4 linked regions of the Diceros bicornis minor genome follow. The protein of the gene in region 4 interacts with the protein of the main gene of each other region in a pairwise test. Links are inferred from orthologs where the notes say so. Each region holds a gene or a part of one and is shown on either strand. Other genes may lie near its edges.

What was found.
Region 1: the proteins of FSD2 (region 4) and FAM107A interact in binary tests that used the Homo sapiens proteins (3 or more experiments, as listed by UniProt). The two-hybrid records come from large-scale screens. The link is inferred for Diceros bicornis minor from reciprocal best matches to the Homo sapiens genes FSD2 and FAM107A.
Region 2: the proteins of FSD2 (region 4) and PBX3 interact in a two-hybrid assay, tested with the Homo sapiens proteins (3 studies listed by BioGRID and IntAct). The two-hybrid records come from large-scale screens. The link is inferred for Diceros bicornis minor from reciprocal best matches to the Homo sapiens genes FSD2 and PBX3.
Region 3: the proteins of FSD2 (region 4) and ESD interact in binary tests that used the Homo sapiens proteins (3 or more experiments, as listed by UniProt). The two-hybrid records come from large-scale screens. The link is inferred for Diceros bicornis minor from reciprocal best matches to the Homo sapiens genes FSD2 and ESD.

What each region holds. Positions count from the first base shown.
Region 1 is NC_080741.1:58,403,667-58,410,574, reverse strand, and holds the start of FAM107A (actin-associated protein FAM107A), read left to right. Parts: upstream 1-3,908; 5' UTR 3,909-4,007; intron 4,008-6,908. UniProt on the Homo sapiens protein: Stress-inducible actin-binding protein that plays a role in synaptic and cognitive functions by modulating actin filamentous (F-actin) dynamics. Mediates polymerization of globular actin to F-actin. Also binds to, stabilizes and bundles F-actin.
Region 2 is NC_080767.1:34,017,507-34,025,395, forward strand, and holds the start of PBX3 (pre-B-cell leukemia transcription factor 3), read left to right. Parts: upstream 1-4,878; 5' UTR 4,879-4,930; coding exon 4,931-5,130; intron 5,131-5,852; exon of another isoform or gene 5,853-5,926; intron 5,927-6,060; coding exon 6,061-6,134; intron 6,135-7,889. UniProt on the Homo sapiens protein: Transcriptional activator that binds the sequence 5'-ATCAATCAA-3'.
Region 3 is NC_080748.1:30,151,785-30,159,487, reverse strand, and holds the start of ESD (S-formylglutathione hydrolase), read right to left. Parts: upstream 3,011-7,703; 5' UTR 2,949-3,010; intron 1,790-2,948; 5' UTR 1,683-1,789; intron 816-1,682; exon of another isoform or gene 813-815; 5' UTR 809-812; coding exon 741-808; intron 156-740; coding exon 67-155; intron 1-66.
Region 4 is NC_080744.1:95,273,962-95,281,231, forward strand, and holds the start of FSD2 (fibronectin type III and SPRY domain-containing protein 2), read right to left. Parts: upstream 3,011-7,270; coding exon 2,366-3,010; intron 2,218-2,365; coding exon 2,122-2,217; intron 416-2,121; coding exon 185-415; intron 1-184.

The sequences.
Region 1 (6,908 bases), on a different chromosome or scaffold from region 4:
CCCATGACAAGCTTTCCTGCCAGTACAGCTTCTCCCCCCATGGCCTTCCAGCAGAGCGTGTTGGGGGTGGGGGGGAGGTTAAATCCCAGGGCTGTTTTGTGGGTGGCTTCTCAGAAACCACACTGAGGCCTTGAAAAAGGGCCTTGGAGATTTAGACTGAATACAGCGCCAAGGAGGAGGTTTTGAGTTGGCATGGAAACTTCTTGTCTGATGTTTGTGGGCCCAGATAAGCTACTCCAGGCTCCTGTTGGCTTGGAGAAAGGGAGGCAAAAATGAAAGGAAAGATGTTTTTGAAGTTTTTTTATGCAAGCTGCAGCCCCAGCCCACTATAGATACAGGAAAATTCCCCAGCTCCCAGTCATGACAGCCTCTCCTGGTCTTCACTGTCACCCTTCCTTTTGGCTCCTTTAGTCCCCAAGAAAACAGACTTCAGAGGGACGGGAGATGAGTGTAGGAGAGGTGTGCTCAGCCTCTGGGATCTCCCTGCAATCCTCAGTGCGGCTGAGCAAGGATTCTGATCCCCAGGCCCCTGGCATTCCAGAGTCCTTCCTTTCGGGCGAATGAGAAGGCCTCCAGGGAAGGCCACACAGACCAAGGCAGGAGGCAGCAACGGGGGCTGGACTCGGCCCTTACCTGGAGTAAACTCCTAAAAGGTTCATCTGCTCAGAGGACCTCTATTTTCCAATACTCAAAACGGACATGCCTGAACCACAGGTGAATCATAACTGTAGTTGGTTGGAAAAGATTGCTCTTTCTCATATTTTTCATTTTTATTGCTTTTTTCTGATAGCAAAAGCAATATATGCTTGGGTTTGCTTTAAGCCACAAACACTACAAAAACGTAGTGACAAAGGAGAAGGGCCTGTAATTTTATGCTGTGGAATAGTGGTTCTCAAACTCCCGAATATAAACAAATCCCCCCAGGGACATGTTAAAAATCCAGATTCCTAGGCCCCTCCCTCATAGGTTCTAATACAGTAGTCCAGGAGCGTGGCCCAGTAATTCCAGTTTAACACGCATTCTAAATGATATCTAATAGTGACATCTGAGATAGATTGATGTAGAACTGAATTCTTTTGACAGTTTAATGTATATGCATCCAGATTAGTTTCTATGTATGTACTACACATATACTATATACTATACTAACTTTTTTATCTTGGGGAAAAAAGGGGGGGGAGTCATACTACATGTGATTTTGCTGTTTTATTTTTCACCAGACATGTGGTGGATATCTTTTCAGGTCAATAAATAGACACGCTATTGACTGCGTCCCATCATGGGATGTAGCCTAATCTCTCACTGATGGCTGTGGCTTGGGAAATGGTGGCTATTGATCGCTGATCTCACACACAGTTACACACACACGTATGCACTCACATGCACACACACACACACACACAGCAAGATGGTGCTATAACAAGCTCAGGATATCAGTGTTTCTGGTGTCTGCAAGTCAACAGTAGTTACTGAGCACCATGGTACTGGGACAGGAACACTAAGAAGGACAGGAGAGGTCCCTGCCCTCAGGCTGGCAGTCTGGTGGGTCAGCCTGATGGGTTTGTACCCGAGTTGGACTGTGAGAAGAGCTACAGTGGAAGAAGTACAGTGAGTCCCAACTGCCTGGGGAAAATGGCCCCCAACCTCGGGGGATTCCTGCCCAACACTCGTTGGCGCTTGGCTGCTCCGGGGCTGCCATCAGTCTTCCAGTAAAGGGAACGCAAAGTGGGAATGGAGGCCATTGCTGGCACGAGGGCTCTCAGAGTCTGCTCCTCCGGAGTGAGCTGGATTACGGGATTCTGTCTCTCCAGGTGGTGAGCACAAGCTGTCAGCAGTCCTCCTGCCCCAGGATCCCTCTTATTCCTGCAGCTGTCAGAGGGCACTGGGACTGGTTCAGGCAAGCCACTGTGGGCCCCAGGAAATGCCCAAAATAGTCATTTGTGCAGCAGGACAACACATGGCTGGGGACCAGGGGCAGCGAAGAGTGGTTTGACAAGACCGCATTTAGTTGTAGTCTTCCATGTCAGAATTTCGTGAAGTTAAGCCACAGCAGGATGGGAAGCTGGAGGAGGCTACCACGCAAAGTACCTCAAGAGAAGCAGAAGTTAGGAAGAAGAAACGAAAAAGACCACGTGTTGTTTCCAAAAAATTGTTCTATACCTGAGAATTCGTGACCCTCTAAGTGTAAGTGGCTGCAGAATGGCCGGCTTGGCCAAAGCTCCCAGGACATGCAAGACCTGCCCCCCGCCCCCTCTTCTGCCCTGTCTCCCACCGTCCCCTCACCCCCAACACTCCAGCCCCCCGGGCCTTCTTCCATCAGGCCAAGCTCATTCCCCCACCGGGGGCCTGTCCCTCTCCCTGGAATCCTCTCCTATGGGAACAGTCTTCACCTTGCTGACTCCTTCTCACCATTCAGACCTCCCTATAACTTCACCTCCTCGGTGTCCACCCTTCCTGAGCTGCCAGTCCCTCCTTTCACCTCACCCCGTCTTAATTTCATCATAGCATTCGTTGTAGCTTCATGTTTTCTTGTTTGTCTCATTTTTTGTCTGTCCCCCTGCCTTGAGTGTAGGTTACCTGAGCACAGGGTTGTGTCTCATTCACACTGTAGCTCCAGCCCTGGAACAATGCCAGGAACACAGTAGGTACTCAATAAATGTTGGTTGAATGAATAATAGAAGCCAAAGAGGACAAGAAACGCATTTTTAACGCCCCCCTCCACGTTCGATGTATGCCATGGGCCTCATCGCCTTCCAGCCAGCCAAGACCCTTCATGAGAAAGCGAAGTTGGAACGAGGGCCATGTTTAACTGGTAGATGCCAGCTTCCTCACTGGGAGACTAAGGATAATGACAAAAGCTGGAAAACACTTCCAAATTTTCAAGTGAACGCTGATTCTGAAACTCAGAGAATGCCTCCTTATCTGCAAGCACCCAGGTCGGCCTTCAGCACCTACACACACTCTTTATTTTTACATCCACATTCGCTCACTGAGCCACGATTTATGGAAGGCAGATTCTGCCAGGCTCAGTGCTACATGCTGGGGCCCTGCCCTCAGATCACGCTGCGTCCGGTTCTCTCTGCAGGAAAAGTCCTATTTGCTGAGCATTGACTGCATGCTTTCACTAATGTCATGTCACCTATGTTATCTCCCAACCACCCTGTTTTTCTCCACATTTGACAAACACAGAAACCAAGGCTCAGGGGCATCGGGGGCTGCCAAAGGGGTTGGTGCCCGAGCCGGGCTGACACAGGCGTGCTCCGGCCCAGAGCGGGTCAGCTTCAGCTCCCCCACGCTCTCTCCTGTGCCACATCCTGTTGGCTCCTCCCTGAAGTTCAGATGAAGTTCAAGGTATCAAGTAAATAATGTGGATGGAGTTTTCGACACATTCGTGGACGACCAAGAACTGACCCAATGCGATTTCCCCTCCCTTGACCCCCAGAGCTGTTCTCTCCTGAAGAACTCGGCGCTGCAGCAGGAAGCCCGGCTCCCCCTCCGCCAGGATGTGCTGGAATGCACTCTCACTGACCCTCTATTAGAAACAAGGGAAATGCCTCTATTTGAGCCGCCTTGCTCAGAACAAAGCTTGGCGTGTTTCTTATTCCTCAACAATCTGACAAAATAGGTATTTATTTGTGCCTCTCAAGCATGTGGCTTGGACACGGTGTTCCGCGTCGTGGAAGTGGCCCTGTACCAAGTGAAATACCCGTTACTATAGTAACAGTTCCTTTTTATTGATACGAGAATAAACAGGAATGCAAAGCTGCCTCACTCGCTGGCACATTTGAGCTGCCTGCCATCCCCAGGGGTTTAAGAACCGCCCTTTGGAGGCGGCCCTCCTGGCTAGTCTGGGACTTCCCGGTGGAGCCAGGAGCCAGCAACACTGCTCCCGAGTTCCCTGCCCGACGGCGCAGCTGAGAAGTAAGACCATTTCTCTTCTGTTTCACCTGCTGTCGAGCTGTGCCGGGAGGAGGTGCAAGGGAAGGAGGGCAGCCTCGGAGCACCAGGTGGGCGGTCAGGGGAGCTGAGCTCTTTGTGCCTAGGCACCGGGCCTATGTCCCTGCATCTGAGAAGTGTTTGGGGGGTGCCTCCTGGCACCCTGGGTTTGGGAACAGGATAGAAGGCCAAGTGGAGGGAGTGCCAGATCCAGCCCTCCATTCTTTTTGATCTCTGTCTTCTAAATCCTCAGATGAATCTGCATTTATGCACGCTATAACCTCACCTAAGCCCATTACCACAGGGTGATGGTTTTAATTCTCTTCATAACTGATAGACAGGAGGCCAGAGTGCTCAGGGTGGCGCAACTGGGAGAGTACAGGTTTTGGTGTCAGTCAGAGCTCCGCTCAGATCTAGCTTCTTCATTCGAGGGCTGTGTGATCTGGGGAAATCAGATGACCCCTTGGAGCCTCAGTGTCTTCATCTGTGCAAAGGGGTGATGACAGTACCCCCCTCCTCAGTCTGCTGTAAGAATTTCATGAGATGTGGCTGTGAGGGGCTTGGCACAGTACGTGACACATAGCGAGCGCACGTCAGCATGCTAACTGCCTGCCTTTCCGGTGAATTTGGCTTTAGCGTTTTACAATACAAGGCAAGTCTGGGCTTGAGCCAAAAACCAGGGGTTATAGGAATGGGTGTGTCACCTTTTGGAACTGTTACCAAACCCAGGTGGTTCCCTGGCTGAGGCAGCCCCAGTACCTGTGTCTCCGGTGTCTGTGATCCTGTGTGGCTCTTAGCGCTGTTGGTGGTAAGTACCTGCTGGGGGCAGGTGGAGTGGCTGGCGTCATGCCACTGGAGGGCCAACAGGAATATCTGGCCTGCTGACACTTGTGCCTTGATCCACTGCACAGCACTGTCCACCAACCTCGCTAAGGACCAGGCATGTCCAGCCCTGGACTTGGCCTTGGAATTCATTCAAAGCCCCGAATGCCCACCCAGACTTGCTCCTCACAAACTAGGAGGTCACAAGGCAAGATGCTGTGTTGAATCATTTTCTCCCAGGGTGGGGAAGTGGCATCTAGGTGGACAAGCAGCTCTGACGGGGGCTTCTAGGCATCGGCCACAGTTGCCGGGAGATCTGAGTGGTTCCCCCACACACTGTCCTGTGGTTGCTGGCCAGTGGAATACAAACGGGCACTTTCCCACTGGGAGGAAAAACGACAAGGGTTGGGAAATCCATGGCCACACTTGTCACTTTTCCTGAATGCCTCTTTCTGCTTTGCCAGTGCCTCCCTTCTCCTCTGCCCCTCCACCCCATGGAAGGTTGAACCAAGGTCACAGTCTGTTCTGAACCCAGCAGCTTGAGCAGTGATAAGGAACAAGGGCTGGGCGGGGTGGGGGGAGGCGGGGGCAGAGGAGTGAAGACTGGCCAACACCCTGGGGAGGGAAGGCCACCAGCTGGTCCCCTCCTAACAAAGACCAGCCGTGAGCAGACAGGCCTGTGGATTCCGGCTTAAGCCCCAAGCGGCTTGTGAGAGTTTGTTTTTCGTATGGGCCGGGAGTCCTCCAAGAACCAAGCCTCCATTTCCTCCTCTATAAAATGGGCTCGCACTGCCTCTTCATTGGGGTTTCTTGAGTATCCAGGGAGAGAGAAGGGATGTAAATCCTCTTTGTTAACTGAAAGACGCTTTGCATCTAGAAGATAGCAGAGTGGTAAAGAGAGCACTGAATTTGGAGTCTGAAGGTCCTGGCTGGGCCATTTACTCTGTATCTTGGGATACAGAGTAACTTGTAGCTTGGCCTCTCTAAGCCTCAGTTTTGTCATCTCCAAAATGGGAATAATAAAATAATACCACTGGCTGCCTCCCAGCAGGATTGTGAGATCCAGGTGGAGGTGAGTGAGCCTTCTTCAGGTGTCAAGTGCTGGCCACAAGTCCCCTCAGGATAGGAGACCCACACTTCACCCTCGGTGAGCATCACTCTGCCAAGCCTGGGCTAACCATATCATACACATTATCTCATTTCACCCCCCCACACAGCCCCATGAGTAGGTATTGCCATTATCCCCACTGTACAGGGGCTCAGAGAGGTTAAGCTATTTGCCCAAGGTCACAGAGCTAGGAAGAGGTGCCACCAAGATTCAAACCCAGTCTGTCACCTCCAAAACATCTGCTTTAACCATGTTGCTTTACTGGCTCACGTGTCATTTGTTATCATTGATGCCATCAAGGATGGAACCAGAACCACCAGGGCAGGGGAGAGGGCAGATGAAGGGGACATTAAGGCCTTAGACAGCCTGGGGTCCCTCAGCTATTCTCAGGACGAACTGGGACCTGGGTCTTCATTGGTGCCACATCCCTCCCATCTCTCCTTATCGCTCTCCTGCACCGGGGGGCGCCAGTGTTTGGTTTCAATGCTGCCCCCCTAACATTAGCCACGCGCACCCCAGAGGCCTGGTGAGCTCACCCTGGGAGCAGTTAGTGATCCCAGCCGAGCCTCGCCTGGCGTGGGGCTGACGTCCTGCAGAGCCTCCAGGGAGGAGCGGCGGGACCTCTTGGGTCATCAGCAGAACTGGGAAGACGCGAGAAGCTCCCCGTCTCTCCTCGGACCTCTTATTATTTACCCCCTGCCCTGAAAGATGAGGTCGGTCCTACAGGCTGCATATTAAGTGAGAATTATTTGCCCATCTCGTAGTCATGCAAGACACTCAATGTAGCTGATGTCTTCCAGCTGCCTCTACCCCGTGCCCAGCACTTTAGCTCGTCCAATCTTCACAGCATCTTGATTTTACAGGGGAGGGTCCTGGAGGTTAAAGACGCATCCAAGGTCACCCAGCTGCTAAGAACTGTGACCTTAATCAGACCTGCCACGAAAACCAGGCCAACCAGTCGGCTGAAATCACTCAGGCCAAAGCAAAGAAGCTTGGTTTGTTTGTTTTTGTTTTTGTTTTTAACTCCATGGTTTGCAAAGTT
Region 2 (7,889 bases), on a different chromosome or scaffold from region 4:
AATGGAATAAAATCTGGGTTCTGTCAGGATGGAAGGAGGTGGGCCAGTGAACGAGAGGTGAGCAACTGACAGTGTTGGCCTCAAGTGCCTACTACATATGAGTCTGCACTGTAGTAGGTGCTATGAGGAATGAAAGAACATAAGAGATGGGGCTTTCTATCAAACCTTCTAGAAGTTATATATTCCAATAAATATTCGCTTTTAAGGACCTCATCATAGAAGGATGCACTGTTATCTCACTGATCCTTTGGTTGCTCAGTCAAATACATCCTCAGAAGATGAAGATTTGTCACATGTCACATATGTTAGCAACTGGGTAGAAGACCACTTCTAAAGAGTCATTCCTAAAGTGATGGAGAGATGACATGTTTGGGAATAAGTACTTAGTCAGTTTCCCCAAAGTAACAACTTGGAAAGTTTAACTCTTTCTTAGATGTCTAAGTTTTGGTTGTTTTTTTTGTGTGTGTGAGGGAGATTGACCCTGAGCTAACATCCAGTGTCAATCTTCCTCTTTTTGCTGAGGAAGATTAGACTTGAGCTAACATCTGTGCCCATCTTCCTCTATTTTGTACATGGGACGCCACCACAGCATGGCTTGAGGAGTGGTGTGTAGGTTGGTGCTGGGGATCCGAACCAGCGAACCTTGGGCCGCTGAAGTGGAGCACGCGAACTTAACTACTACGCTGCTGGGCCAGCCCCTAAGTTTTGGTTTTTTTAAAAGCTAAATCAGTCATGTTATAGTCACGTCTCAAAATACTTTGCCCTTAACATGCTTATGAACTAGATGAGAAAATAAGCAGGTGAACTGAGAACAAACAACACAGGACTATCTAGAATGGTGCTAAATTATATATTATAGGCAATATGTTCTGAGAGAGTTTAGAGCAGATGAAGATCAGTGAAGGCAAGCCCGGTAGGAAAGCGTCAGAGAGGCGGGGTCCTAGATGGCCATGAACGATGGCCTGGCTGGGCTTTGGTCTGTGTCAACGTCAAATGAAGATATTCCCCTCCTCTGCTGCGTGAGACCAGGATTCCTCTAACAGAGTTATTTATCCTCTTTTTATTAAATACCTAGTTACTTATTTTCACTAATTTACAGTTCACCTGTTAAGGCCTCATGATTTTTACTTAGTAATCTTGATTAAATGACTTTTTTTGTACAGTGTTTATAGGGTGGGCTTTGCAGCCACACAGATCAAGATTTGAATTCATGGTCCAGTACTTACTGGCTTTGTGGTCTTGTGTAAGTTCCCTACCCTCTCACATTTTGTTTCCTTATTTAATAATAATCTCAGCTAGATAAGGCTGTTGTGAGACTGAAATAAGATGAAATAAGGAGAACACAGAGCACAGTCCCACCCTGAGAGAGTGCTTGATAATGACATCTGCTGTGATGATCATCACATGGATGACAGAGGCAATGGTGATGTTAATATAAACCCATGGAAAGGGATGGATATGAAAGAGCCCCTACTTGGTTCTCACCACTTTGTCACTGTGAACTTTACATGAATGTACACCCACCAAAAGTAAATTACATTTCCCTTGACTTTTTAATAATCACTGCCTTCGAAACAGCAAAGATGGATTCAGGTACTTAGGGAGGTTCTATTCTATTATCTGCGAAGGCATCACCCATGTGACCCAGATTGCTGAGCAGAGACAAGGCAACACCCTACATGAGAAACTGGCAAAAGCACAAGAGATCTTGGAGATGTGCAATTAGTTGACACTGTTTATTGGGGCTTGGAAACCAATCTGAAAGAATTTATGCTTTAAATCAATGGCAGTTGCCAATGAGCCTGTGAGGGAATCCTCGTTAGGACACTCTGGCTTTTACTGCAAGTCATATTGATAATAACCAAAAGAGAAGCCTCCCAGGCAGAAGGTCAATCTAACCCAATCACTTAATGCAGAATTATGGTATCAAGTTTCTACCTCGCTGAATGACCATGGGTTTAGAGGTGTGTGCCATCAAACAAGCTGCTGGGGTTAGACATTTAACAAGTTGTTTCATTCCTAATCGCTGGCATGTGCTTAACTGTTTTCTTAACTCTAATTTATGTTTTTATGTTCCAGTTTGTTTACATAGCCCATAGTTCCCAATTGCCTTTATTTGCTTAAGTGTTTCTTTAATTTTATTTACATTTTTATATATGTTGCTTTGCTTACATAACTCATTGTTTTGGCGTGAGCTAGAAATAACCATAAATCCGTATTGCTAATTAGCCTCATCTTCATGACTGATTAGTCAAGATTATGAGCCTAGAAAGAGGGCAGGGAGGAGGCCGGATAGTGAGTCACAGGATCATTGAATTTAAGAGCTGGAAGGAATTTGGAGATTAAGGCATCTTTCAGCTAGAATTCCGTGGTTTTACATCTTCAACGTTGGAGAATTATGAAAGATTCGCTGCTTGCTCTTGCTCCTTTATGTAAAAATGTATAAGGATTTGGTGACAGCTTTGAAAAACAAGTTAAGAATAAAGAGAAAGCCTAATAAATGATGACTATGAACAACCCATAATGGGGGTTTGAGAGAAGAATCAGAAGCTTGACACACAAATGGGCTACAGAAGAGCAGGGAATATTAATGAACACGAGGGAGCTTCTTCTTTGGAAGTTAGTAAGTGGAGTGGATTGTTTGGAACTCTCTCTCCAGCAGCTGTGCAGTTTGTAAAGATTTTAGCTTGCCTAACTGTAAGGTTAGCTATTAGCTTGGCAGTGGGGAGTATTTAAAAGTACACACAACATATGAAGGAAAGAACCTGGAACCGACTAGCCTGCTTCATTCCAAGAATCCATCTGGCATGTAAAGAACTGCTTGTCCTACATTAAACCCTGCAGAGTGAGAGCCATTTTTCATATCTCATACCCCTATTTTTGGTTTCAGGTAAGACAGCTTACTGAGTTTGGGGAAGGAACACGAAGACTTTTCAGAACCACCTAACCAAAGGACCCATCTGGGGTGAGCTCTCTGAATCTAAAATGGGGAAAACATGTTGAAGCCCTGTTTGGGAAACCAGGTAAAGAGAAAGCGCAAGTGTCCACAAGAGGTGGCAATCTAGACCCTCAAGTAATGTGAGCCTTTAGTCATTTGAGACAGAGTACAATGGAAGAAGAGGGGTTATAGGTATGAAAATCTGTGGCTGGAGTCACTTACATTAAATGACTCGTGGTGATGGGGTAAGTTGATAAGTGAAACCCAGCCTATCCCTAAATAAGCATATGTTTGTAATAAAGAGCTCGTTTTTGCAGCTTTGGTCTATCTGGAGGCAACTAAAAGCAAACGCTGCCAAAGGAGTATTCCCTGGATTACCAGAAATTGCAGAATGTGTTAAGGGTGGTAAACCTTGAATTAGTCCTGGATGTCAGGCCCTTTCTCTTTTCCCACATCCACTTCCCTCTGACACATTTTCATATGCTCCCCTTTCAAGGGAAAGTGTATGGCAGTCAGATTCGCTCAGCGCAGACTTCAAACATGCGGGACCACGGGCTCTTACCTTACCTGGTCACCCCTTGAGGTCCAAGAGCTGGCGCCAACTCGGAGCAGCGCCCTCTCGGTTACTATGGTGATCGCGAGAGGGGCGGGGTCTCCATCCACTGCGTCCCCGCCTCTGCCCAGGATATTTCGAACGCTCCAATTGGGACCGCCCTTTCTTGCCTTGGTCCCGCCCTGTTCGGCTCCAAGCGCGATGCGATTGGTCCGGGACGGGCGGCCGGGTACCCTGTGGGTACCCCCTCCTGACCGGAATAGCGGGAAAGTGTAGCAGGCGCTGTCGGAGGCGTGAAGCTCACGGAGCTGCGGGGAAGCACATGGTTGGCTTTGGAGCGAGTTGCCCCGTGTCCCATACACAACTCCTCGCACCCATGACTGCTAACTCTAGGGAGCAGGAGCTGGGGTGCGGTCACAACGTTTGCGGTCCAGGGCGGCCCATCCTGGGGGGCGAGGACGCGACCAGCCGTCAGGATCCGGTGGCGCGCTCTCCCGCGCTGGGGATCAGAGGCCAGAGGGGGCGGGCCCAAGCCCGGGGGCGGCGCCAGCGGCGGCGGCGGGAGGTGCAAGTGCCAATGAGCACGCGCACCGCCCCCGGGGGCGGGGCCTGGAGAGCGCTCCCCCGCCCTCGCGCTCGCCCCCGCCCCTCCCCCCGGGCGCGGGGGGCCGCAGTGAGTGAGTGGCACTGGCAGCCTGTCAATCCCTCAGCCGAGCGGCCTTCGAGCCTTGTCCGCGGCGGCTGCTGGCAGGGTGCGCGGCTCCGGCAGCGGCGGCGGCGACTTCTCCCGCCCCATCAATCTGCTGTCCGCCCGGCGCGTGGCCCCCGGGGGCCCTCCTTCGGGCTCCGCGCCCCGCCGCGCCGGTCCGCCCGCTCCCAAACTTTCCTCCTCCGTCCCCCTCGCTCCCCTCGGCCCGCCCGCCGGCCTCCTCCTCCGCCGCCGCCCGCCGCCGCCGCTCCCTCCCCCGGGGCCGCGGGGGCTTGGATCCCGCCCGGCCGAGGCGGCGGCGGCGGCCGAGGGAGGGGAGTGCGCGGGCCGGCGCGGGGGGCGGCGGGCGTCCCGGCAACTCGGCCGGCGCTGAGGAGCAAGTTGCGCGGGGCCGCCCGGCGGGGCGCGCGGCGGCGAGGAGGCGGCGCGGCGGCCGCGTGAGGGCAGCGGGCGCCGCTGCCTCCGCCTGCGCCAGCGCCGCGGAGCCCGGCGTTTCCGCCCGCCGCTGCTCCTCAGCCTCGGCGGCGGCGGAAGCCGGAGCCGGGCGCCCGTCCGCACCGCCTCAGCCGCGGGCCCCGCCGGCCAGGCCGCCCCCTCCCCGCGCGGGCGGGGAGCGCGCGGCCGACTCCCCCTCCCCCTCCCCCTCTTTCTTCTCCTCCCTCGTCGCCGCCGCCGCCGCCGCCGCCTCAGCCTTCGCCGCCGCCGCCCGCTCCCGCCCGCGCGCGGCGGGATGGACGATCAATCCAGGATGCTGCAGACTCTGGCCGGGGTGAACCTGGCCGGCCACTCGGTGCAGGGGGGCATGGCCCTGCCGCCTCCCCCGCACGGCCACGAAGGGGCGGACGGCGACGGCAGGAAGCAGGACATCGGCGACATCCTCCACCAGATCATGACCATCACGGACCAGAGCTTGGACGAGGCGCAAGCAAAGTTGGTGTCGTCTCGTTAAGCATCTTTTGTGTGCGTGCGGAGCCGGGCCCGCGGCCGAGTCGGGGCCCGGGGTGGCGCCCGGGCAGGGGCCTCAGCCCCGGGCGGGGAACTTTCTCCGAAAATCTGCCGCCCGCCCGGGCCCCGGGGGCACTTGCCCGCGCCCCTCGACGCGGGCGGGAGTCGGCAAAGTTGCTCCCGGCGCTCGGGACGGACTTGGGCCGGCGCGGATGGGGCGGGTTTCTGTCCCCCGGGGCCGGCCCCCTCGCAGCCCGGCCCCGTCCGCGGATTCAAACCTCCCGCCGGGCCCCCGCGCACGCCGCCCCGGGAGGGCCCTGGGCCGCATTCGAGGAAAGTGCAACTTTCTCCCGCCCGGAGTCGCGGCGCCCGGCTCCGCCCGGCCGCGGGACCACCTCGCCGTGCCGGCGGCCGCCCCAGCCCGGGCGCGGAGCGCGGGGCGGTTCCCCGGCGGGGCCGGGTGCGGGCGGCCAAGTTCTCGGCGAGGGAGGGCCGCCTCGCAAACTTTGCCGAGCTGTCACCGCCCGCTGGCCGCGCTCGGCCGCCGGCCCGCCCGCCCGCGCCGGCTCCCCCTGCGGAGGGCGGGCGCGGGAGCCCCTCCGCCCTGTCCCCTCCCCCGGGGGGCGCCGCCTGCCCCCGGCCCGAGGCTGCCCGCGCGGGTTCGCGCCCCGCGGTCGCCGAGGCTGCTGCCTGCCGGCCAGATGGGTCGCGCGTCGCTCGGGCTGGCGCTCCGGCCGCCGGAGCTCGCCGGCTGTCGCTCACTAGTCAACTTGAGTTTCTGGTGACTTGCCGCGGTTCACGGGAGCCTTCCCCAAGAGTGGGCCGGAATTAAATCTTGGGGCTAACTTAAAGGAAGGCGCCATATTATTCCATAGGTGATGCTAATACCTTTGTGTTTTGCGATTTGTTTTTTAGGAAACATGCCCTGAACTGTCACAGAATGAAACCCGCGCTCTTCAGCGTCCTGTGTGAGATCAAAGAGAAAACAGGTAAGACGCTGCGCCCCGCGGTGGGCCTGGAGCCCCCCGAGGTGGGGTCGGAGCTACTCCTTCGACTCTCCAGTTGAGAGCTGCTGCTTTTGGGCACCGCCATCTTTGATCATTCTCTCCTTCCCACCTCCTGATCTTGAGAAAAAACTGCCATAAATCTGGAGTCGATTTCTCCATTCCGCTCCTGGTGTGAAATGAAGTGTAGATGCGGACGGGGCTGGGTCGCTGTCCCCAGGCGGCCGCCCCTGGCTGCAGGCGGGGAGGGGGCCCGGAGCGCCAGCCGCTCTCTCCCGCTCCTTTCGCCTTGTTTGTATGTCAGTTTTTAAAAGGAGCAACGGGAGACTGGATGCCGGGGACCGAGTCCCCGGGAGTAGCCTCGCCCGAACTTTGTTTTACTTAGACAGCCTTAAGCTTCAGCTCCGCAGATAGAAGAATAGATGCAATTGAACCCGACCCCAGTAGCATGTTTGAATTCGTGTTTTAGTTGGGAAGACTACTTTTAAGAAGCGAGGAAGGGTAATGATGTGTTCAGCCATATACAATGTATGACATCTATTAATACTTTCATTAAATTTTATACTCGAAGTCATTACATTCTAAATATGCTTAATATATATTATAAAGTAGAAAAAGGTCCACAAATGCAGGTTAAACAATTTTTGAAGTGTTCACGGCAGGGGATATATGAAAAGAGAGCTTTTGCAGAAGTGCTGGAATGAAAACTGCAAGTACATATTAGACAAATTTCTGGCAATTCATTTCAATTTAACTTTCTTGTTAGACTTTTTAAAATTGAAGGTATTTTAGTCTTGAGGTGATAGTAGCGACTCAAGTGGAATTAGAGATTTAATATAGATGTTTTAATTCGTATTTGGCAGTATTTGCCGTGTGTTTGGCAAATAAGTGCGTTAAATAAGCGTTACTGTTGATTTATTTATTTATTTTTTTGGTGAGTGTAGGCTATATAGTATTACAAAGTTGCCTTTTTTTTAAAGTTGCCATTTTTTAAGTTAAGGCAAAGAAGAGAAGGTTGAAGTCCAGGGTATAGCAGTGTCCAAGTGATGCCATTTAATAGGTTAAATGTGATTGTGTTTAAGTTGTGTGTACAAATAATAGCACACTGCATATAATCGTTGGTTGGTAGAAGAGTTGCCCTCCTTTTTAAACAGATTTTCCTGTGCAATGCTGTTGTGATCCTAAAAGTAATCAAGAAAAGATGATGAGTTATTGCTCTCCATTAAAAATACGCTAAAACCATAATTAACAGCAAATATTGAGAGCCTTAAAGAGCACCTTTTCTGCTTTTCAGTCGCATAGTATGCAGGGTCTCTTAATGTTGACTAATTCTTTTTAAGATATATTTTACATTTTGAAAACCACAGGCATTTTAAATTACTAACTTTTACTCTTGATTTTTAGCTACCTTTAGAAAGCATTGTGATTTAAAACTGGAGATAATTTTTATCTAAGACATCGAGCATTAAATCTTGAAGATTCTTAGTTTGGAAGCCTAAAAGTGCGTAATTCTCAGTAAATTATGTTGCTTAATGTCCAAGGGTTTTCTTGCTATCAGGGCTCCACTTTAGTTTCTGCTGACAGCTAAGCACTGGAGTATTGACTATGTTGTGAATATTAAGATTGATTCAACTTTATACGGCATTATATTACTAGGGAGAGGGGATTGGTATTCTTCCCCACTCATCCCCTTCTCGTGATTTGTATTTATTTTTTTGCCTTCTTAAAGTTTTGGCCTAG
Region 3 (7,703 bases), on a different chromosome or scaffold from region 4:
GAGTAAGATAAGCCAGTTAAAAAGAAAAAGAAATTCCTTTATAAAACTCAAATGTATAATGCTTACCAGACAGCCAGTACAGCGCAGGGCATTTTCCAGTTTCTGCCTTTGGTGGTAAATAGATGGCAAATTTCATTTTGCAGTTCAGCTCAACGCTGTAATTTTAACAGTCACAACAAAAAAATCAATGCCCCTGATTAGTCAAGACAGAAACATAAAATAAGAGATTCAATGTCCAAAATAAGGGATTCCACCAACACTTAAGAAATATACCTTGGCCCTTAAAGAAAGAATGGGGCCAATTTAGCATAGAGATCTATTAATCAACCTGAGTTTATGCTTTGCATGGCACATAGTCATTTTGGACAGAATAAATTAAAAGAATAAATGTAATATCCTCAGTGTAGCACTAATATTATTAAAAGAAAAATTGTTTATGTTTCTAAAGAGATGTATGAAATAATAAATCGGTTTTTATAAAAAATGAATTCTAAAGATCTTAAATTCATGTTTGCTCATGGGTACCAAAATGTACACATTCTTAACTCGTTCTTTATCATTAATATTTTATTACAATAACTAAAATCACAACTAGATAAGATAATTTTGATAAAACCACAGGTATTTTTCCATGTAAGCAGTAATTCATGCACCAATGATCTTTCATGGGCTTATTTAAAGACTCAAATAGATAGAAGCAGAACAAGATATATCTAAAACCGTATCTTCTTAGTAGTTACCTGTCATGTTCAAAAACTTTCTGTAATCCTCCAAAGCACTTGTTGCTGGAAATCTGTTTCAATGCCATTCTTCTCCTATTAGTGAAGATTAATCTCATTAATTTCTAGAGAATTAGTTCCTTAAAAACTTGAAACAAAACTTTTTTCAGATAAATTATCCAAACATACAACTGTTTTCCACCTAGAATATTTTTTCACATGCTAATTTTCTCTGATAAACAATATTAAGAAACTAACTTCCATACACACACTTACACTTGTTACTCACTTTAGAAAACTGTAGTACTTTGGTATGTCATTACTAATTTATTAACAAGCTTTTTTTGTGTGTGTGGACTGCCCCAAATTCTTTTTAGAAAGAGGCAGAATAAAATATGTTAGTAACTGATTATTTTGGCTTAGAAGATTAAAAACTGTTAATAGCTTACCTGTAAGCTGTAACAAAGGAGTCAAGGAATTGATAGGACTGATTATGGTTGATTTTAAAAAGGGAGGAAAATGATGTAATAATAATGATTTTAATAATAACATAACATTTATTGAACATCTACAGTGTGATAGGCAACCTTCTACATGCTAAACCAGATCACATTACTCATTCTATGAGTTTTTCAGAGAAAGTGATGTACAACTTTTAGACCAACATTTCTTCTTTTAAAACAAACCAACAAGTAAAACACAGGCTGTTTTAAGTGAATTACAAGTGCAGATTGTCATTGGGAAATTCTCAAGTTTTATAATTCTCTTTCCTCAAACAAATCTTTTAAATTTCCATAAATAATTTTAAACTTACATGTTAAAATATCACACACTATTATGTTTTAATAATAAATACAAAAAAATTGGAAAGCCATTTTTATCATAAACATCTGTTGATTCTGATTTGTATCTCTCAAGAAAGGATTCCCTTCCCCTTCTTATTAAAATCAGTAAGCTGTACACACCAAATAAAAAAATCCTCAGATACCAGGAATAGGTATTACCACTCTGGCGGTCTTCTCCGTGAAATGTTCTACTGTATGCTCATCAGGTGCAGTGTTAGGGTTACTCTAAAAAGATATATAACAATCATCTTAAAAAGCTAATTTTGGAAATGTCTTTGAAAAATTCTAAATAAGATTAGTTTCAACCTTATGTTTAAGTAATCTCCTCAATAAATCCAAAACTTAGCTTTGCATTTGAAAGCTGGGACTTGAACCAGAAAGTCTGATATCAGAGACTCATCAGCAGACTCTGCTGCTATGCTCTCCTGCCTCCTAGCAGGTCTTTTTAAACATTCTTTTTTTTTTTTTCCTCCCAGACACTCTTAAGATTAACTAATTTTATAGGATTAGGGTATTTCAAATACACATAGAGAAATTACCTTCTATTCACAGGTTTATGCTTCTTATCTATAAAAGATCAATTCTTAAACAACAAATTTCTCACAAGATGTTATTAATTATTGAATATTAATTTCAGCTATTCTTGTTCATGATCCTTTCTTAAATAATGAACTAAATGAAATACATGTATAATTTTAACATATATACAAGACCAAGGAATACAATTATTTACTGAATTATTCTACAAGAATATCCTATTTTCTTAAACCTAGCAGGGACTATGTCTGCTTTCCCAAAACATGGTACACTGAACATATATCCAGTACATAAGAGATACCCAATAATTATTTGTTGAATTAATGAATAATTTATTTTTTTAACTTCTAACTACCGATTACATGAAAGTTTTAAAAATTAGCTTGTCCTTTATCTCTATTGTTCTATACTTTGTTATTCAATTCATCTATATTAGTAAACGAGAACTAGTCAATTTCCTCTGCTCTTTGAATGTTCTTTAATTAAAATCAAATACTTTCCATTTGGTCAAAGAAAAAACAAAGTTAAAATAATGTTTTTTTAAACTGGTAGGATGAACTAAAAAAAAAAAAAAAAAATCAAAGCTTTTTAAGTTTTTTTCTCCCCAACCACCCATTTTAGAAACTACTTTCAATTATAAATCAAGAAACAAGTTAGGCTCAATAAAAAATATGACATAAGCTAAGAACTAGATATACTATGATATATGACATGATATACTAGGTGATTACATTTTTCACTAAAATTTTTCTATGTGAAAAATAACATATTTTAAACCAGGTTATTAGATTTTTACATACAACTTTCAAACTAACACATAATAATGTACACATAAGTAATAATGTACACATAAGACACTGTCCAATTGCTACTTGCTTTTCAGTCTGCACCAAAGGGTAGACGATCCTTAAAAAAAAGACCAAATGCTTCATAAACAGGACATACTTTTTACCATAAAGGTTATATAGACATGTACAGTACACTACACACTCTCAACAGGGACATTTTCTTCTCTCGAGGTGGGTGATGGTCTCCGCTGGCTATGGCAGCTTGGAAAACGCAGCTGATCGAAGTGCACACCCCTTCATCTCAGTCCTTAATCTAATTTCCTGAATACCCATTTTGCCACAAGGCCTAGTTTTTGGTCAAAAACTTTTGCTAGAATAAGATTCCTATGAAGAAAGTCTTTCTTTTTAAAAATTTTAAAAAAGTTTTAAAGTGTAATTTGGAAGTAAGAGATATAGTCAACCGCTGAGAGTGAAGAAAATCAGGAGTGGGTACTAGAAAAGTAGAGAAATATAAAAAGCCTAGACATGCCTGACTAAGAATTGTAGATCAAACCTGGAATGCAGGGAGGAGAAAGGAGGGAAGCGATGAGGACTTAAGGACTACTGGGTTGGCTGGCTAGAAAGGATGAACTGGTGAGAAAATTCAGTTTATGAATGACATTGAAGTGACTGATACACAGTAATAAATAAATAGCAACTTAACATAGTACATACTATAAGTGTCATCTGTCTGATCTTTCATTTAGGTTCTAGAACAGATATGGTGGGAGAAATGGAGTGAAAGAGTAGAGTAGAATAACACTCCACCCGAAAAACCAAAAACAATTTCACTGTGTCAGTGCGAGTTACACAATTTTCCTAGAAAGTCAATAAAATGAACATCAATGTTCTTTAGAAAAGAAAGGTTCTCTTGGTGTACATGCCAAGCCAATCAGGTAAAAACCATTAAAGAGAAAGTTGTCTTTATTCACAAAGTATCCATTCCCCCTCAAGGTCGAAGTGTCGAATCTTACTTTTCTTCCCTTTACTTATTGAAGCTAAATGTCATCCACCTCCAGAAATCTCTGTTCTTCGTATTTTTACCCATTCTTTCCTTCTTCCAATGAGTCTGCAGTTTTCTATCTCTACCTCTGTTTTTGTCCCATTCTCTCAGACTCCTTGGACTTGGATCTATTTCTTCATTTTCAGTGTCCCACTCCACTGGCTCTTAATGACCCACACAGGTCTCCTCAACATCACTGGATCACGGCACTGCTGACCACCACTTTTTCGTTTAAATCCTCCGCTCAGTGGAAACTCAGGATCTGAGTTCTTCTCTTCCACTCTTTCTCTTTCTCCTCCCATCTCCCTTTCCTTTTCTCTTCACATACACTCTTTCCTTAACTCCGTTAGGAGTTAGTCTCAACTACATCTCAACTACATCTTCTGGGTAGAAGAATCAAAACCTGCATCTCCAGATCGTTTTCAAGCATTTGTGCCAGAATTTTACATTTCTTGCTGGACCCTTCTAATAAGATATGCTACCAGCTAATAAAACCCAACACATCTAAAACTAAGTTTCTATCTCCCACCTTCAAACCATTTTTTTCTCTCCTTTTCTTTGCCTCTCTTTACATCCATGCTTATCTTACCCAATCTACGTTTGAAATGTCTTCAAGTTACCCCTTCTTTGAATTCCCATTGCCACCATCCTAATTATACACAAGAAATTAAAACTTAGCCTCCTACTTTGTTTCCTTCTTGTACGTCCCACTAAAATCAATCTTGCATGGAAGCCTAGGACTTTAGTCCTTTTAACTTACTGCTTGATGGATACCTATGTCACATCTTCAGACCTAAAATGGCCTACATGAAATTGTTAATCATTTTAACTTATTTTTTATTTTATTTATAAAAATTGTCACTAAAAAACACGTAACATAAAATTTAGTCTTAACCATTTTTAGGTGCATAGTTCAGTAGTGTCAAGTATATTCCGTCAATTTTAAAAACATTGTTAGCTTGCCCACATTAACTAGCAGATGAGAAATGCCTGACCACCTCCAAGCTGTTCCTACAGGTGTAGAGAGCTAATCCCACTCAGCTGTCAGGCTAGCAGCTGAACACCAATAAGTCACTGAAATGGAAGACGATGTAATTCATTATACTGTACAGTATAATTTTGTCAAGTTTGATGCCATTAAAACTTCATAAAACCGAAATTGTGAAGAACTGACAACAAGATAAATAAGGATGAATGAAACTCCACATACACTTCACTCACATTTTAACTGTGTACTAAGCATAGTCTCTTTTCCTTCATAAAAATTCACATGGCTTGCCCATATTAATTTTTAATCCACCTTCGGGAAAAAACAGAGCACCCACGAACTCCAAACACCTTAACTTGGCTCTCAAAATTGTCTTCACTGGTCCCACACTATTTTTCTGGTCTTTCCATTATTTTAACGTAGTCAAACTCAATTACGTATAACTCTAGTATAGCCTGGATGTTTCTACGGGGTGGCTTTAGTCAACGCTATGGTACAACGGGTTTAGAGCAGGTTCTGGAGCCAGACCCTTCAGGTTCAAATTCTGGCTTCACCACATACTACATAACTTCGGGCAACCTATGTAATCTTTCTGTGCCTCATTTCCCCGACTGTAAAATGGGGATACGATACGATCGATGTGATAGGCTTGCTCCCGGCACTAAAGCAGTTAATTTACGCACTGCTGAGAACACTGCTGGCTATGACGCGCACACAAATCTCAGCTATTATTATTCCCGCAACTTCACACACCACCTCCCCGAGGACCCCAGCGGAAACGGTCCCCTGCCCCGGTCAGGGCGTTTCCGACGCGAGCAGACTCCAAGGAGCCGGCGAGCGCGCCAGGAGGTGCGCTTCCCCGGGCCCGCGTCCTGACGCAGGCGCCCGTGGAGCTGCCACCGCTCGGGCCTGTCCCGCCAGTAAACCGGGACACACCTCCTTCACGCGGTGGGCGTCAAGGGCGAGAAGACCCTATGTAAGATGGAAAGAACTAGATAAACGCAGCGGGCGCTGCATAAATGCGCAGCTTCTCCTCGGAGGCCGCAGGCCCGAGCGTCCGGGTTACACATTCGTGGAGGCTCAGTGTGGAAACGGGGTGTGGGAAGCGCCTGGCCTCGGCGCCCCGGCCCTCGGCCTGCTGCCCCGGCTCCGTCATGTGCGGCGCCCCGGGGCCGCAGTCTCCGCGCTGCCGCCTGCGGGACTCGCCGCCGGCCTCACGTCCCCCTCGACCGGCCCCCGCCGTGTCGCCCGTGCGGCCCCAAACCCAGGGGACCGAGGACACCCGGGCATCCGCCCGGGCCAGTCTTACCTCCGGCGGCCGCGGCGGAAGGAGAAGCAGTCAAAATGGAAAGGGGGGGCCTCAACATGGCCGCCCCTGCCGCCGCTCGGCCCCGCCCCCGCTAGCGCCCGCCCACCCTCGACCCCGCTCTCCTTCGGGCCCGCCCACTCGCGGGGGGCCTAACTCCGGAGTCCATTCTCCTCGGCCCGGCTCTTCCACGGTCCGGCTCCCGAAGGCTCCGCCCCCACGGTCCCGCCCCTCCCTCACCGCTCACTTCTCCGCAGCCCCCACGTGGGCGGCCCCACCCCCCACCCCCCCCCACCCCCCCCCCCCCGGCCTCTGGCGCGGGCACCCAGGTCAAGGCCCGCCAGCGCGCTGGCCCGCCCTCGCCCGGAGGCCGCAGGAAAAGGCCGAGGCTTGAATAAGCCTGAGGTCTGCCCTACTTAATTCGTGGAAAGGGTTTCCAAGTTGCTTTTTGAAGTTATGTAGAAACCATAATATCAAGTCTTCCCCATCCCCGAAATCTTGCCAGTTCACCTACTTGGTAGCTGGAGTTAAACAAGGGTCATTTTAAAATCTCCAGTGCCTGGCACATAGTAAGAGCTCCACCAATGTTCTCTTTTCTCCCCTCTCTCGATATAAATTAGTTGAATTAATAGTTGCTGGTTGATGACTTACAGGAAATCTCTTGATTTTTTGCCCTCATTTAAATGAAGTGATTGTGAGTGTACTTTGCCTGTTGAGAAAACTGAACTTGATTACAAAAAACCTTAAAATTTTTTTTTTAACCAACAGCTATACTGACAGATTGTAAAGGACATAATCTAAAAGGGCTAGTTTCGTGGGCATGCAACCTGTGCAGAACAGGGTCTCCATCTCAGAGGAGGCTGCACTGGGTTTAATTTTCCCCTTGGTTTAATTATTTCCTGTGCTACATTGTTAATAATTCTTGAACAAGGGGCTGCATATTTTCATTTTGCACTGGGCCCTGCAAATTATGTGGCTGATCCTGCTGAAAGGACTGGTAGGTGAAATAACCTCTATGGGAACTGATATTATAAATACAGATGCTGGAATCTGTCCTGTGGCCCAGGCCCATTTTGCCATAATGACCTGTGGACTGAACTAACCTGTGGACTGAACCTGTGGACCTGTGGCTGGGTTGGGACTCAGCCTGAAGATAATGTTTATCTAATCAAAATAATGTTTTTATTCTAAGAAAGCACTGAAGTGAAAAATTCTTTTTACTTTCTACTATTTTTAAATATACATTACTGACAAGGGAGTTTTCTTCGAACTGGGTTTCACGACTAAAATAGAATACTCAAGGTTGCAAGTTATTTAGAACTGATAGGAAAGATTTGAAGAAAGTTAAAGGGTGTTTATTTAATAAATTGATTTGCTGCGGGGTGCGGACTAGCCTAAGAACTGTGAGCATGAGGTCTTTTACTAAAGGATTTTTGTGTTAATACAGTATGATAATAACCAGAACTAAAATTTCTTTT
Region 4 (7,270 bases):
CTCATGGCAAAGCTGTGCAGAAAGAGGAGGTGACAACCTCACCATCGTGAATATCGAGTCGAACCAAATGGCTTCTGACCATAAAAGGCAATTCCAATACCTCCAGGTGAAGAAGGAACAACCTAAGCTACTCCAGCTATAACTGTCATTTCAGTTCAATATTTCATTTCACTTCATTACTGACCTTGATGAAATCAACCTTCTCTTCATGACACATCTCCTCTACTGTTTCCATCAGTTCTTTACAGGTATCAAGGTTTTCTCCACAGATGACCAGTTGTCCATACAAGGCTTCCAGCTTCTCTTTCTTTTTCTCCCCTAGAGCTTGTATTTTTTCTTCATATTTTTGAGCAAGTGTTTCCAAGATCTCATTGTAATGTGACTCAAAGTTTTGTTCTTGTCTTCCAAAATTCTCCTGCAAGACAGTTCCCCTCAGTCATCATTTCAGTGCATCTGGTGTGTCAACAACAGAGTCATTTGGGGCATGAAAATGTATCTATATTGTAGCTATTTTAGTCCCTCCACGTAGTCTTATCTCTTGCCAGGATGCTGTGATGGACACTGGGGGAGCTAGGACCCAGGAGTCTCCAGCTAGAACCTCAGGGATAATCTTAACAAAAAGCACTGCTTTCTCTCCTGGCAGCATTTTGCAATCGTCCTCCTCACTCCATTTTTAGCCACCTTTCATCACCATGACAACCAACCAGGGAGATTATCAGTGATGAATGAGTCAGCCTGTCACTGGAACCTTGGACCTTAATATGAAGATGTTTGCTCTGGGCGATTCCCACTTATCTTTCCCTCCTGAGCTCTCAACATCTCATGACACTCACCTCCACCCCTCAATGCTTGGATTATACAAACACCAGGATCACGCAGATCCTCATATCTGCTGAGAGATATCAACTGCTTTCTCATATCAACTAAGAGAAAGATGAAGGGGAAGGGGAATAAGGGTTGTGGCCAGATGGTGCTGCCTAATAGATGAGAAAAGTCAGGAAGACAGAGGGAGGGTTGAGACCGTACATAATCCTGGAGCACAATGGATGAGAAATATTAGTCAGAGCATATGGATTCCTGGTCCCTGTTCCTTAGATTGGAAGCCCAGGCGAGCTCTGCGGGTTCTGACTGATGTCATCCTCACCCATAACAGGGACTTTCCAAAGAAGGGGCTCTTATCAATCACTCAGGGAGTATTTACTGAGCGCCTACTATGTGCGTAAGATTTGCTTAGAATGGTGGAAGAGAGGGAAAGACGGTAGACAACTTCCCTGAGTTAAGTGTAAAAGGAAGATCTCAGAGTCCTCACTGAGGTGAAGACACTTTGATCTGAGAGTGAGCTGGCAGTACAGAGTGTAGGGAGTTTTGTCCTGGCTGTTGCACACTGACCCCTCCTAGCACTACCCTAAGCTTGGAAGGGGAAGGGCTTGTCCCTTCTCTGCCTTCCATAGGGGATTAGTGCAATAGCTCTCCTCCCTTTTCAGATTGGAGGCTTCACGGGAAAGGGGCCTGGGGCTTAGTTAATTCATATGGAGTGCTCCTGTTGATACAGTCTGAGGCTGCATGAATAGGATTAGAGCATCCACATGAAGAGAGAGGAGACAGACGGTCCCCTGGTCCTCAGTCTCGGTATACCTCATCTGGAGGGTCAGGTTGAGTGCTGGCATCACAGCGGTATACTACATACCTATTAGGTCCACCCAGGGGACTGTGACATGTTTGGTGGCAGGCACAGAAACTTACTAATCTTGTGAGAAATAGATAACAGCTGAGGAAAAGCACACTTATTAATGACAGAATAGGTGTTTTGCAATGCCTTGTCAAGGCTGGCGCGTGAAAGAGTCCTACCTTGTAGTAGGACTGGGGATATATAGACACAGAAGACACAGTCTCCCACGGAGAGCTTCTAGTTGAGTAGGGATTGCTGACAGGTGGTGGGTGCCCTGAGGCATATACCCAAGGTGCCATGGGAGGGCAGGGGAAGGAGTGAGGGGAGAGGGGCAGTAGTGACGCCACCCATTCTAAGAAAGCAGGTTCTCCAAATCATATCAGACACAGCTGCTGACCCAGCCACTAATGGAAGCCACGTGTGTCTGGTGGGCTCATCAAGTGTGCTCTTACCTCCACAGTGATGAAAACCTCCTCTAAGTGACTTGCAAAATTTTCCATCTCGATAATCTGCTTTTCCAATTTGTACATATTTTTGTGAATTTCATCCTATCCAACAGAGGATCACAAGAAGATGTTAATGGTACATCTTTTCTCTCTCTCTTTTGTAGAAGGCATTTTAGATTTATTCCCTGCCTGCACATTTGAGATATAAATGCAATATCCAGAGAAAGAAGAACCAAGGAGACCTATTTACCTTGGCGATTTCCAGTGCTTTATTGAGTGGGGTCACCTCATGCTCTTTGTGTTCATCAAAAACCTTCTCCAAAGCTCTTACTGGAGTTTTGCAAGTGATGCAGAAGACGTCAGCAGCTTCTTCCTCATCCTCCTCCTCTGGGATGACGTAGCATTCATACTCCTCACTGGCACGGCCACGTGTGTACCTATAGGCTTCCCGCAAGTCCTGGCACTGGCCTGCCGAGCCCCACCTTCCGAAGCCTGGGTCCTCTGCCTCAGCTGCCTCTCCACTAAGTCTCCAGTCTCTCTGCTCCCCGGCTGGTTCTCTCCTCATCATCCCATAAGGAGGATATTCTGAAACCTCTATTCTGGGCATGTTTTCATCAACAAACTCATCCCCTAATTCGTGATCATCTTCAAGTCCATATAAATGGACAAGTTCATCCACTTCCTCTTCAAGTTCTTTTTGAGGCTTACCTTTCGCTGCCCCTCTTGGCTCACTGGTCATTTCAGCTTGGACTACTTCTCTTCTCATCCGAGTGGTTTCTTCTGGGAAGATATGCAGTCTGTCTTCAAAGTCATACAGATCCATGTGATAAAAGTGAAAGTTCTTGGAGGCAGTAGACCTGTGCATTGCCGGCGCCCCCCCAGCTTCCTCCTCCATTGTAGCTCTGGAGGACCTGGGCAGCACCTTTGCACAAGAAGGATCCTTCCTGGACGGTTAATAGCGGATATTCTGGGTGCTGGAACACAAAAAGAGGAAGAAAACTTCGTTTCTGAGATGGCCTTGTAGGAGGGAGTCATTAGATTGGGCTCCGCTCATTCACAATTTTTTTAAACTATCTGAGCAGCTGGGCTGTGGTTTCACTTTGAACTATCTGTAAAGAAAAGTTTGCTTTCTATAGGAGGATGGGCTTTCTAAGCTTAAAAGAGACAGAAGAAATGACAAAAGAAACATAAATAGATTTGACTAACAATAGACTCCTATACATTAAAAAAAAAACCTCGAAAGGGAAAATAATGGGAAGTGTCAGGCAATTATTATTAAGCAAATTGTATGAATTAATTAAAAAAATTAAGATCTTAATAGTTTACCATGCAAGGACAAGTCACAAAATAATTACTTTTGTATATAATATTACCTGTACAAAAACATTTAGAGAATGGTCCATCCTTGTGAGTAACAGAGAACAAATAAATTAGATGTCATTTTGACTTTCCAGTTAGCAAATATTTAAAAATATAAAAATGATACCCAAGGCAGGGTAAGGGAGCAGTGAGTACTCTCATATGCTGCTGGTTGGAATGTAAACTGGCCCCACCTCTCTGGAGAGAAAATTTGGCAACATGGATCAGGAGCATTAAAAGTGTTGACACTCTTGGCCAGTCCTGATGACCTAGTGGTTAAACTTCAGTGAGCTCTGCTTCAGTGGCCTGGGTTTGGCTCCCAGACATGGAATCACACCACTCCTCTGTCAGTAGCCATGCTGTGGTGGCAGCTCACACGGAAGAACTACAGTGACTTACAACTACATACTGGGGCTTTGGGGAGGAGAAAAAAAAAGAGGAAGACTGGCAACAGATGCTAGCTCAGGGCCAATCTTTCCTAGCAAAAAAATGTTCACACTCGCATGCTCGCTTCGGCATGAGATACTGAAATATGGAACTATACAGAGTTCCATATACTAAACATATACTAAAATTGGAACCATACAGAGAAGATTAGCATGGCCCCTGTGCAAGGATGACACACAAATTTGTGAAGCGTTCCATATTTTTACAATTTCTAGTAAAGGAGTAATATGCCAACAACAACAACAAAAAATATTCACACTCTTTAATCTAGTTTTCCCTGAGGAAGTATCTCAAACACAGGGGAAAATTTTTTCTATATAAAAATGTCCACCACTAAATTTTTTAAAATAGCAAAAAAATTTTTGAAAAGGCCTAATGATTAGGAGAATGGTTAAGTAAACTAGGATATGTACACTCTATAGCATATAATGCAGCCTTTAAAATATTTAGTGAGAGCAAATGATAACGTGGAAAAAGATTTACAATATGATGTTAAGTAAACAGAATACTCATTATATATAGACAATGATAACCACTGTTTTTAATGGAAGTTCGTAAAATCTAGGAAGAAATAGTCGTAGTAGTAAATACAATGCTAGTAGTAGCTACTACTTGTTGAGTGCTTACTGTGTGCTAGGCAGTTTATACACATTGTCTTATCCTCATATCAACCCTATGCGGTAGGCACTACTGTTATCCCCCTCTTACAGAGAAGGAAATTATGACTCAGAGAGAGGAGCTTGTGCAAGGTCACATAGTTAGTAAGTCATTGAACTGGGATTTGAACCTTAGTGTGCGTGATGGCCATGAGGATGTGGTGGTAGATATCCAACTACAGGGAGCGTGACTGACCAGAGGTTTCAGCTGCAGTCTGAAATCCATCGATATATTTGCATGGAGGACATGCTTCCCATGGACATCTCCCATCGGATGACAAAGTGTAGCAAAGATACTAAGGCAGATCCATTTCTGGTTGACACAAAACTACTCTGATGGCGAATTTTGGCTGGAGCCTTGCCAAACCCTGGCAGCTTTGCCAAACCTTTCTTAAGGGGCATGGCAGTCTAGGATGCTTCTTCCAAACCTTCCCTCCTCTCCTCCTTCACTTGGTGTGAGACTTGCATCATGACAAGACAGCTCTCTCAGCCTTTCCTATCTGTCTCCCTATTTTAACTCACACAGGTGTTTCCCCTAATAAAATTCTTGCAAATTTAATCCCATCTGGTACCTGCTTTTTGGAGGACTTAGATTAACACAAACTGTTGGACTTCAAAGCCCCTGCTTTCTTCTTAGCTCAGAACTGCCATGTGTTATACTAACTACTTTTGTAATATTTTTACTGACACATAATTCACACACCGTACAATTCACCTGTTTAAAGTGTGTAATTCAATGGTTTTGGTATATTTGCGTATATATGCAACAATCACCATAGTCAATTTTAGAACATTTACATCATCTCAAAAAGAAAGCCTGAGCTCTTTAGCTATCACTGCCTGCAGTCCTTCATTTACACCAGCACTGAGCAACCACTAATCTACTTTCTGTCTCTATTGGTTTTCTTGTTTGGACATTTCATATAAATGAAATTATATAACATGTGGTCTTTTGTGACTGGCTTCTTTCTTAGCATAACGGTTTCAAGTTTCATCCCTGTTGTAGTCTGTCAGTACTTCATTCCTTTTTAGAGTTGGATAATATTTTATTGTATGGATAAGTCATATTTTGTTTATCTATTCATCAGCTGATTTGCATTGTTTCCCATTTCATCTGAGTTGTTTTCATGTTTTGGCTATTATAAATAATGCTACTAAAACATTTGTGTACAAGTTTTTGTGTGGATATATGTTTTATTATTATTACTATTTTATTGAGGTCATAACTGTTTATAACATTGCGAAATTTCAGGTGTACATTATTATTTATCAGTTTCTGTATAGACTGCATCATGCTCACCACCAAGAGTCAATTTTTATCCATCACCATATATATGTGCCCCTCTACCCCTTTCACCCACCCTCAAACCCCTTTCCCTCTGGTAACCACTAATCTGTTCTCTTTGTGCATGTGTTTATCTTCCACATATGAGTGAAATCATGTGGTGTTTGTCTTTCTCTGTCTGGCTTATTTCACTTAACGTAATACCCTCAAGCTCCATCCATGATGTTGCAAATGGGATGATTTTTTCTTTTCTATGGCTGAGTACTATTCCATTGTATGTATACACCACATCTTCTTTATCCATTCGTTAGTTGATAGGCACTTGGGTTGCTTCCACATCTTGGCTATTGTGAATAATGCTGCAATGAATATAGGGGTGCATAGATCTCTTTGTATTGTTGATTTCATGTTCTTTGGATAAATACCTAGTAGTAGGATAGCTGGATCGTATGGTATTTCTATTTTTAATTTTTCGAGGAATCTCCATACTGTTTTTCATAGTGGCTGCACCAGTTTGCATTGCCACCAGCAGTGTATGAGGGTTCCCTTTTCTCCACCTCCTCTCCAACACTTATTATTTCTCGTCTTGTTAATTATAGCCATTCTGACAGATGTGAGGTGATATCTCATTGTAGTTTTGATTTGCATTTCCCTAATGATTAGTCATGTAGAACATCTTTTCATGTGCCTGTTGGCCATCTGTACCTTCTTTGGAAAAATGTCTGTTTATATCCTCTGCCCATTTTTTGATTGGGTTGATTGTTTTTTTGTTGTTGAGTTATACGAGTTCTTTATATATTTTGGAGATTACCACCTTGTTGGATATATGATTTGCAAATATTTTCTCCCAGTTGGTGGGTTGTCTTTTTGTTTTGTTCCTGGTTTCCTTTGTCTTGCAGAAGCTCTTTTTTTTTTTTGTGAGGAAGATCAGTCCTGAGCTAACATCCATGCTAATCCTCCTCTTTTTGCTGAGCAAGACCAGCTCTGAGCTAACATCTATTGCCAATCCTCCTCCTTTTTTTCCCCAAAGCCCCAGTAGATAGTTGTATGTCATAGCTGCACATCCTTCTAGTTGCTGTATGTGGGACGTGGCCTCCGCATGGCTGGAGAAGCGGTGCATCGGTGCACGCCTGGGATCTGAACCTGGGCCACCAGTAGCGGAGCGCGTGCATTTAACCGCTAAGCCACGGGGCTGGCCCTTGCAGAAGCTCTTTAATCTGGTGTAGTCCCATTTGTTCATTTTTTCTTTTGTTCCCCATGCCTGAGTAGACATGGTATTTGAAAAGATTCTGCTAAGAGGTTGGCCCCATGGCCTAGTGGTTAAGTTCAGTGTGCTCCCATTGGGTGGCTCAGGTTCGGTTCCTGGGTGCAGACTACACCACTCATTGGCAGACATGCTGTGGCAGTG